2 linked regions of the Drosophila melanogaster genome follow. The protein of the gene in region 2 interacts with the protein of the main gene of each other region in a pairwise test. Each region holds a gene or a part of one and is shown on either strand. Other genes may lie near its edges.

Evidence for each region.
Region 1: the proteins of Rpt4 (region 2) and BHD interact in a two-hybrid assay, tested with the Drosophila melanogaster proteins (one study listed by BioGRID).

The regions. Positions count from the first base shown.
Region 1 is NT_037436.4:7,236,048-7,240,635, reverse strand, and holds BHD (Birt-Hogg-Dube), read right to left. Parts: upstream 2,095-4,588; 5' UTR 2,002-2,094; coding exon 843-2,001; intron 754-842; coding exon 651-753; intron 593-650; coding exon 472-592; 3' UTR 391-471; downstream 1-390. Other genes in the region: RpL18 (ribosomal protein L18), read left to right, coding at 1-335; CG14829 (uncharacterized protein), read left to right, coding at 2,537-3,054, 3,121-3,262.
Region 2 is NC_004354.4:6,288,667-6,293,254, forward strand, and holds Rpt4 (regulatory particle triple-A ATPase 4), read right to left. Parts: upstream 2,580-4,588; 5' UTR 2,458-2,579; coding exon 2,349-2,457; intron 2,293-2,348; coding exon 2,173-2,292; intron 2,110-2,172; coding exon 1,389-2,109; intron 1,260-1,388; coding exon 1,119-1,259; intron 1,056-1,118; coding exon 953-1,055; 3' UTR 804-952; downstream 1-803. Other genes in the region: wuho, read left to right, coding at 1-762; mldr (mulder), read left to right, coding at 2,741-4,002, 4,069-4,441; CG15892 (uncharacterized protein), read right to left, coding at 4,514-4,588.

The DNA.
Region 1 (4,588 bases), on a different chromosome or scaffold from region 2:
CTACCATCGTGGTCGTCGGCACCGTCACCGACGATGCCCGCCTCCTGGTGGTGCCCAAGCTCACCGTGTGCGCCCTGCACGTCACGCAGACCGCCAGGGAGCGCATCCTGAAGGCCGGCGGTGAGGTCCTGACCTTCGATCAACTGGCTCTCCGATCGCCCACCGGCAAGAACACGCTGCTGCTGCAGGGCAGGCGTACCGCCCGCACCGCCTGCAAGCACTTCGGCAAGGCTCCCGGTGTGCCCCACTCGCACACCCGCCCCTATGTCCGCTCTAAGGGACGCAAGTTCGAGCGTGCTCGTGGTCGTCGCTCCAGCTGCGGCTACAAGAAGTAAGCGACTGGCTGACTGGACTGGATTCGGCATCCTTTTGGTTAAGATAATGATTTTTCTCGCCATCGCACGGCAATAAAAGAGTTTTATTCCAAAAGGTGAAAAAGAAAGTCCTTAATCTGTGCGGTAATCGGTTGTACTAGTGAAGGTGTGTGCTCCAGTAGTTAATAATCGGCTGATCGTGCGGCTGCACGCCAAGCACCTTCTTAAGTTTGCCCTGCACGCTGGTGGATTTGGCATGGTTGAGGCAGGTCACTTTGCTGTAGATGGAATTCAATTGAGTTCGGATCTGTGCAGCAAAATAGGACGGCTACTCACTTTTTCCACTCTTCGATGAGCACCTTGGTCTGCTTGTTCAGCACGAGTTCTGTGAAGTTTTTCTCCTCCACCGCCTTTAAAAGTTTCACCATAAGATCTGGCACTAAAGTGGGAGAATCAATAGAATCAATATCAATATCCCCGACTCGTTTTTATCAGTGAAAGCGGGAACGGATTGGATGTGAAGCTTACATTTTCGTGGCAGCTCTCCTGGCCATTTGACCGACACCTCGTGTCCGTTGACGTGTTTGTCCAGAAAATCGATCCGATAAACGGAGCTACTGGCCATTGGCACGGCTATGTCATTGGACACGGATATGATTTTGTACTCGGAGCTGATGGAGTGTTGATGTTGGGCATCGATTCGCATTAGATTGTGCATGGGCTCGGGCAGGAGTTTCTTCAGGCAGACCATGAAACGGAAGGTCTTTCTGGGATCACCTCTGACCACAATCTTCACCCCAGTCAAGGCACAATAGCAGACCGTGGCAAACTCCTCCTTGCGGACGACACTCTTGAGATGGCGCAACGAGAAGAACTCCTCCAGATCGGGATCGTCGATGCTCTCTATCATTGGCAGTGTGGAACTGTTGTAGGTGAGTCGCTGTGCGGGAGGACGGCCACTACTTTGTGGCGGTAGCCACGGTAGGTTGCCGAAGGTCACGTGCTCGGTGAGGAAGCGGGATCCGGCTAGCAGGAGCCACGAGAAGTGTGAGTGCAACTGGGCGAAGATGTGCTCCTCGCCTGTTAGCTCCAGCAAGGCACGGGAAGTGGGCATCAGGAACTGAGCGCCGGACAGACGCCTCTGTCGCTCTGAGTACGTCTGCTCCTCCGTCTCCTTGGTCTTTTTGGCAGCTGCCTGCAGCTCCGACGACACCTTCTTCAGGTGCTCCGCCAGAAAGGGCTTGATGTTAAGCAGGAAATACTTGTCCTTCATCAGCACAATGATGGAGAACAGCTGCGAGTAGCCGCGGGCCTGCAGGTCGCTCACTCGGAAGGTGTGACTCAGGATGTGACCCCTGGACGAATCGCCAAAGAACACGAACTCGCCATCCTTGCTGGCATCCGTACCATTGCTCAGACTGAGCACCGCCGCCTGCTTGACCAGACTGGCCACCTCCGGCAGCACCGCCACCTTGGTGCTGACGAATGTGGCCCCGCTTTCCGTGTCCCTGCTGTAGATCGCATTGTTATTCTTGCCCATGGAGTAATTGCAGGCGGAGCAGGTCTTTTGCGTCTGCTGTTCCAGTGACAGGTCCTCCAGCTTGGTGTCCCTCAGTGTCTGGGTGCAGAAGATGGCGCAGGGACCGTGCGCCTCGCAAAAGTGGCACAGCGCTATCACGGCGTTCATCGCTGCTCTACAGTTTCCTTTATATCCTTGGTTATGTTATTGTTTATTTTGTTAGTTAATAATACTAGAGTGACCAGTTGCGTACATTCACTGAAATACCAGAAATGGCGGTAAGAACATAGAAAACATTGCAGGGATTTCTTAAGCGATATTTTAAATTTTGCGGGAATATACATTTTATTCTTGTTTTGTATATGTAAAATATAAATACTAAACTATAAATCAATGTGCTATGACGACATAATATTAAATAAATACACATGACAATAAATTCCTTATGTTAATAGAAGTTCAAATTAAGAAAGAATTTTTGAATTGTGTTTTTAAGATATGTAGAAATGTATCTGTAATTATTTACCCAATTAATTATGCAGAACGAAAATGTAAAGCAGATCTGGATGTCTTTATAACCCAATTTGGATGCTAATTGCTTGAGTCCATAATGCTTTAATTTTCAGCATCACAAATGGGTATCGATTCCAGTGAGTTTCATTCTCGAAAGTTATTGTGCCACCTACAGACGTTTTTCCACACAATGCAACTGGTTTCTTGGATATATTTATTGGCCTGTTCATTACCTGTGGTTAGGAGTGCGTATATGTTAGTAGCTGCTCCAGTTGGCCAAAATATTACGGAGTATATGCATGCGCGCCAGAAGAGGCATCAGTTGATCTACCGGAATGGAGGAACCATCCGTTTGGTAGTGGGTCCCGTGCTGTCCACTCAGCTCGAGGATCCCGTGGTCTGGCGCAGTTTGGTCTACTACTATGTGCTGCATTTCGGGGCATTTACCCTGCCATCGGCACCACTATATCCCTGGGACAAATGGGAGACGATATATGCGCGTTCGTTGCAGGAGAAGATCAGGAGCTTGGATGAGACGCACGAGGACGACACTCGCCTGTTCGTATATGCCGCCTTGGAGAACTATATGGACCAAGTGAGTGGATCTCCTGGTCGAGGTCGTCACTGTTTGCTGCGAGGGATCTGTGAAAATGCGCAGGTGCATCACCATGTGGGCATCATGGCGGAGCTACTAGTCGTTCTACTCACGTAAGTTGCAGTTTTAGAATGCTATTACTTGAATGGAAGAATTATAAATCTATATAAACTTAATAGACCTGGTAAAACGCGCTTGGATGTGGCCTACAAGGAGGCTTTAGCAGCTGGCCAGGCTGGAATCGATTGCCTAGCTCGCTATTCGGATTGTCCAAGGGGTGAAAGTGTGCTGGATGCATATGCTCTGGATGTGGAGTATTGAAAAGGGTTTTTTTTTAAACTGATGTTACGACTTGAATAAATCAAGTTAATTCAATGATTACCACTGATAGTGCTTTTCAGTAAGATCAACTGGAATCACTGTCAACTTTCGAGTATATCTGCTCACATGAACAATCTAGTTACTCCGTTGAATTTTTAACACTAATTGCAAGTGATTTGCGCCCTTGTCGTCGCCACGCCCCCTTTAACTCCACCGACTGGAGGATGTCGCCTTTGGTAAACCAGAAACACGAGTGCATCCATGCCAACATCCTACCCCAGAATCTAGGCGAAAAATGCGTTAACATTAATGGCTTGTGGCTGGTGCAAGTTGGGCTTGGAAAGCGGTGCAGCGAAAGCCAACACACGACCGCCATTTTGTCAACAATGGCGTCAATTAAATGGAAAATGCGGCACCACCAACAGCCGCCGCGCGGCAAGAACGCCGGCAGCAGCAACGAAAGACAATAAATGCGTCTTAAGTGGCACATTAGGCTCGCAGACGGTGCCAAGCGGATGGAATGGGCTTTCCAACAGGGTGCAGCAGATACTATTTTAGTCAGAGATTTCCCTAGAATAACTAACTAATTTTGAATCGTTGAATTCAAAGAAATAAATAAAAGTATATTAAGTTATATTTTTACTTTGTCTACTTCGATAGTATGTTAAATATTACTTTTTTATTCCTATCACATAAAAATATAATTTCCATTCTAGTATAAATATATATAAAAATATAAATTTAGCTTCAAATATATTTTAATGAATGTTCTCTATTGTGACGAATGAAATGATATAAATATTTGTATATATAGGTGGAATAAAGTAAATCTGTGAATCGTATTTGTACATTATAAATTCATATCTTCGTTTATTTTATTTGTCTTATCAATTATTAATTTTACTATTATTCATTTATGCACCCTGTTCAGAATCCTCAGCTGCGCCTCGTGTGCACAGCTAATTCAAATGCGATTATGACAACGCGAACAACGAAGGAGCTAAGCGGCGTAGAAGGCGAGGGGAGTGCGGTGAAAGCGGAGAAAGTGGGGCGAAGGAACCTGCCAGAGTGCAGTTGGCGCAGCAAAGAAGTGGGGGGGGAGGAAGGTAGGGGAAGGGGGCGGTGGCTTGGGGGGAATGCCTGCACAACTTTGCGGTGTTTGAACTTGTGATGGTGCAGTGGAATAGGTAACTAATGTCTGCGGCTGTCATGTTTATGCGGCAGCCATATCGTAAATTCAAAAATATCAACTAAATATTAAGAAAACAAAGCGGGAAAATAATTTAAAGTAAGCTTAAATAACTACAAAATGATCGAGTTAGTTAC
Region 2 (4,588 bases):
TGCGTTGAGGTGGAGGCTCCGCCGCGCCTGCTGTTGGGCCATTTAAGTGTGGTATACGACATCCTGTGGTCGGAGGACCAGCAGCATATCATCACCTGCGATCGGGATGATAAGATACGCGTGACCAACTATCCCGCCACCTTTGACATCCACAGCTATTGCCTGGGCCACAGGGAGTTTGTCTCAGGCCTGGCACTGCTCACGGAGCAGCATATCGCCTCCGCTTCGGGGGACAAGACCTTGCGCGTATGGAACTACATTCAGGGCAAAGAGCTGCTGCAGCACGAGCTACCAGCACCGGCGGTTCGTTTATTGGTACGCCAGCTGGAGCCGGAGAAGGTCTTCCAGGCGGCGGTGCTCTTCTACGAGCACGTGGACGCCCTGGGATTGTATCGCCTGGAGCGCAGCTCCGATGACACCTGGAGCGTGACGGCCACACAACTGGTTTGCGCCGAAGCGGGCTCATGGAGCATTAGCAACTTTACTTTAACCAGCGACCGGATCTACATCACCGGCGCAGAGAACGAACGCTTAAGCTTGCGCGTCTACGACATCGCAACTGGCCAGCCGGCGAGCAGCGGCGTGCCCGAGGGCTGGCTGAAGATGGTGCTAGACGGATTGGGTGCCAACGAGGAGGGCGCACCGCCATTCATTCCCGAGGACTTGTCCGTTTGGTTTAAGAAGCGCTTCGACAACGTTAGCGACTATTTGGAGCGCAAGAAGCGGCGCATCGAGGAGCAGCAGCAGCAGAAGTGCGGCTAATCCCCGGGCGCCCACATACCCAAAGGAAATTAAATGAACCTAATCTTTACATAGCATTTAATTAGCATATGGAGAAGAAGCAACGGACTTTGTGTGACAGGCCCGTTGTGGGCATAATATATATATATCTGTATATGTGTGTAAATGGTGTATGGTTATCTCTATGGGGGGCGGTGGCGAGCACTGGCTCCTAGACGGGCTTGTAGTCCAGCTTGCTCTCCAACTTCTTGTTGTCCGACACCTTGCGCACCGCCTTCATGAAGTCCTCCTGGATGACGTACTCCCGCTCCGCACTGGATTTGCAAGAATAGTTACATTTTAGGGAGCTTATCAAGCGGTGGAAACTTCGCACTTACCGAATGGCAAAGAGACCCGCCTCCGTGCAGACATTACGCAGATCAGCGCCATTAAAGTTGTCCGACAGCTTGACAATGGCCTCGTAGTCGATTTCGCCGTGCTTGGCGATCTTCAGTGCGTGAATCTTGAGAATTTCCAACCTAAAAGGAGTTGGGGTTTTACCATCAGTATGACAAAGTATGTAAGTATCTAATCTGAGAAATCCCTATTCATATTTCACCAAGAAGACATCAAAGATAAGAGCCAATCAATGTGGGAATATAGCTTACCTAGCCTGCTCGTTGGGCAGCGGAATCTCGATCTTCCTGTCCAAGCGACCCGGACGCAGAAGGGCAGGATCGAGGGTGTCCGGACGATTGGTTGCCATGATCATCTTGACTTGGCCAAGCGAATCGAAGCCGTCCATCTGGTTGAGCAGCTCCATCAGGGTGCGCTGGATCTCGCGATCGGCAGAGGTGCCCTCGGAGAAGCGCCGACCACCGATAGCGTCGATTTCGTCCATGAAAATGATGCAGGGCTGATGGTCGCGGGCATAGTTGAACATCTCGCGAATGAGACGCGCACTCTCGCCAATATACTTGTCGACAATCGCCGAGGACACGACCTTGAGGAAGTTGGCGTCCAGCTGGGAGGCCACTGCACGGGCCAGCAGGGTCTTGCCGGTGCCAGGAGGTCCGTACAGCAAACAACCCTTCGGTGGCGTGATGCCGACGCGCAGGAAGAGCTCCGGATTCAGTAGGGGCAGCTCGATCACTTCGCGCAGCTCGCGAATTTGGTCGGTTAGGCCGCCGATGGCCGAGTAGGTGACATCCCCGGGATCCTCGTGCGACATATTGTACACCAGTGGGTCCACCTCGCGCGGCAAGTAGCGCATAATGGTCAGTGTGGTCATGTCGAGGGCCACACGAGTTCCGGACTTCAGCTTGGCTTTGTCCAGCTGCCGGCGGCAGCCGACCACGTAGCGGGGTCCATTGGTGGCCTTCACAATGACTGTGTGGCAAGTAAGTAGTTAGAATAGAGGCAATCTTAGACAGAATATGGGAGAGTTCTCACATTTATCCTCGGTCAGCTGCTTCAGCACCTCACCAACGATCTGTCCCACGCTCTGCAGGGCCTTTAGATCGTTCTCCGACTTGTCGTACAGCTTGGTCAGATCCTTGATCTCCTCGCGCTCTGAAAATAGCCAGGTTAATACGCATTTGCTGGCGGAGATCAGCGGATAGACGAACTTTCTTTGAGGCGTCCCTCGATTTCCTTGTGCTCTAGCAACTTCTTTCGGTACTCGGATAAGGCTTTCACCCGCAGATTGTCCGGCATCGGTGTGGCGGTCACGGTCATCTTGTTCGAGGATTTACGCTGTACTTTCGGCTGTGCAACGCTTAAAATAAATTAAATTCAGAAAAGTAGTGAGTTGCAACTTTTGTCGCAATGCAGTGTGCCCGTAACGTGGCACGCAATAAATGTACACTTACTTCGGTATATTTCATTTGGCATATACCAAATGCGGTGCGTGCACTGGCTAAGTGCAGCGTGTGACTGGCCACACCGCCAGCCGGCATAATTCTTATTGGAATTATTGTGTTAAGCGAGAATAATTTTAATCTAAATTTAAATTTAACTAATGTATAATTTACGCCTGCTACGAAATCTCCTGCCGATCGCCGGGCACGCCCATCCGCGCTGGCTGGCTAGCCAGCACAAGCGGCGCCCGCAGCCGGGCAGCCTGCCGGCCGATCGGCTGGACCAGCTGCGCAGTGATCTCTTCGAGCGTCGCCATGAGCTGAGTGGCGCGGAGTGGACGGAGGTGCGGAGGTCGCTCGTGGACGGGTACAAGCACATCAACGGGCACAACGTGGACGCCGTCATTCTGGGCGTGTGCAGTGCACCCAACCAATTGTCGTTGGCCAAAAGCTATGTGGAGTTCCTGAGGAGCAGGGGCTCCAAACCGAATGCAGCGACACTGGGTCGCCTGCTGAGGGTCTACAATGCCGCCTACCACGAGCGACCGCTTAGCGAGGCGGAACAGTCGGAGATACTGCAGATCTGCCGATCATTGCAGGCGGAGCACGAAACTCTGGACGCCAGCAGCTGCGAGAATGTGATTCATGGACTGGTGGCCACCAGCGGCGATGATTGGCAGCGCGGACTGCCGCTGCTCGAGATGATGAAGGTCACCAGTACGCCCAGTGTGGCCGCCTACTCCGCGCTGGCGGAGAAGGCCTTCAGTGTGGCGACACCGGAGCAGGAATTGGCCTGGCGCCTACTGGAAGAGATGGCCACGGCACGGAAGCCGCCCAAATGCGAGGTCTATCTGGCGCTGCTCAATCGACTGGCCAACGAAACGGCACAACTTCCTGCACAGCTTAGCCTTTTGTTGCAATTCCTCGAACGCCATGAGATTCTAGTCAGCCAGCGGGTGGCGATACGATTGCAGGAGCTGTCCAGCCAGGTGCCCCAACTGTTGCACACCAGGACCACCCATTTGGGAGGTCTGGGCAAGTGCCAGTCCTGCCAGCAGCACCTCCAGCCGGTGGCCATCAGCGATGAGGAGTTCCGGCAGCTAAGCGAATGTTTTCTGGAGCGCGTGCTCATACGACGAGACGTCTTCCAGCGCTCCACGCCCGAGGAGGTGGCCAGGTTCAAGAAGTTTGTCGAAAAGACGGCGCCATACGACTGTGTGATCGATGGCCTCAATGTGGCCTACTCTACGGGCACCAAAAAGACGCCGCAGCAGCTGGCCAAGCTAGTGGCTACGGTGGTGCGTCATTTCCGGGAACAGGACAAGCGTGTCCTCGTCCTGGGACGCGAGCACATGCGCAACTGGTCCAAGCAGGCCATGCACTATGTGCACTGCAATGCCAGCCTCTTCTTGACCAGCAATCTGTAAGGGAATTCATCTCGAATTGGAAAGGGATAGGTAGACTAATTCGTTCGTTCGTTTGCTTATAGGTCGCACGATGATCCCTTCCTGCTGTATGCCACGCTGCGCAGCGGCCAGGAGACAGACTTCTTCTCCCGCGACCTGATGCGCAGTCACGCCTTTCATCTGGGCACCGAGCTGAAGCCCATCTTTCGTCGCTGGCAGCAGGAGCACCAGTTCTCCCTGGTCACCCAAACGCAAACGGGTCAGATTATAGTCAAGGAGCCCGTTCGTCATCGGCTGTGTGCCCACCAAGTGGCGGACACCTGGCATGTGCCCTACTGCGCGCAGTACACGCCGCATCCCACAGACAGCTTCGAGGTGCCCGCCAACTGGCTGTGCATCCAGATGAAGGAGCAGACGATACCCGCCACCAAAACCAAGACCAAAACAACGAGGTGACCATGTGAGCAAGACTTCTTATGCGAATAAATAGTAGCCAAATGTTAACACGAATACACTGAAGGAGCCGTCCTAGTCGCAGTCATAGCGGGTGCACTTCTCAAAGGCTCCAAGACCCTGCGGCTGGGGCTTCTTGCGACGGCGCTC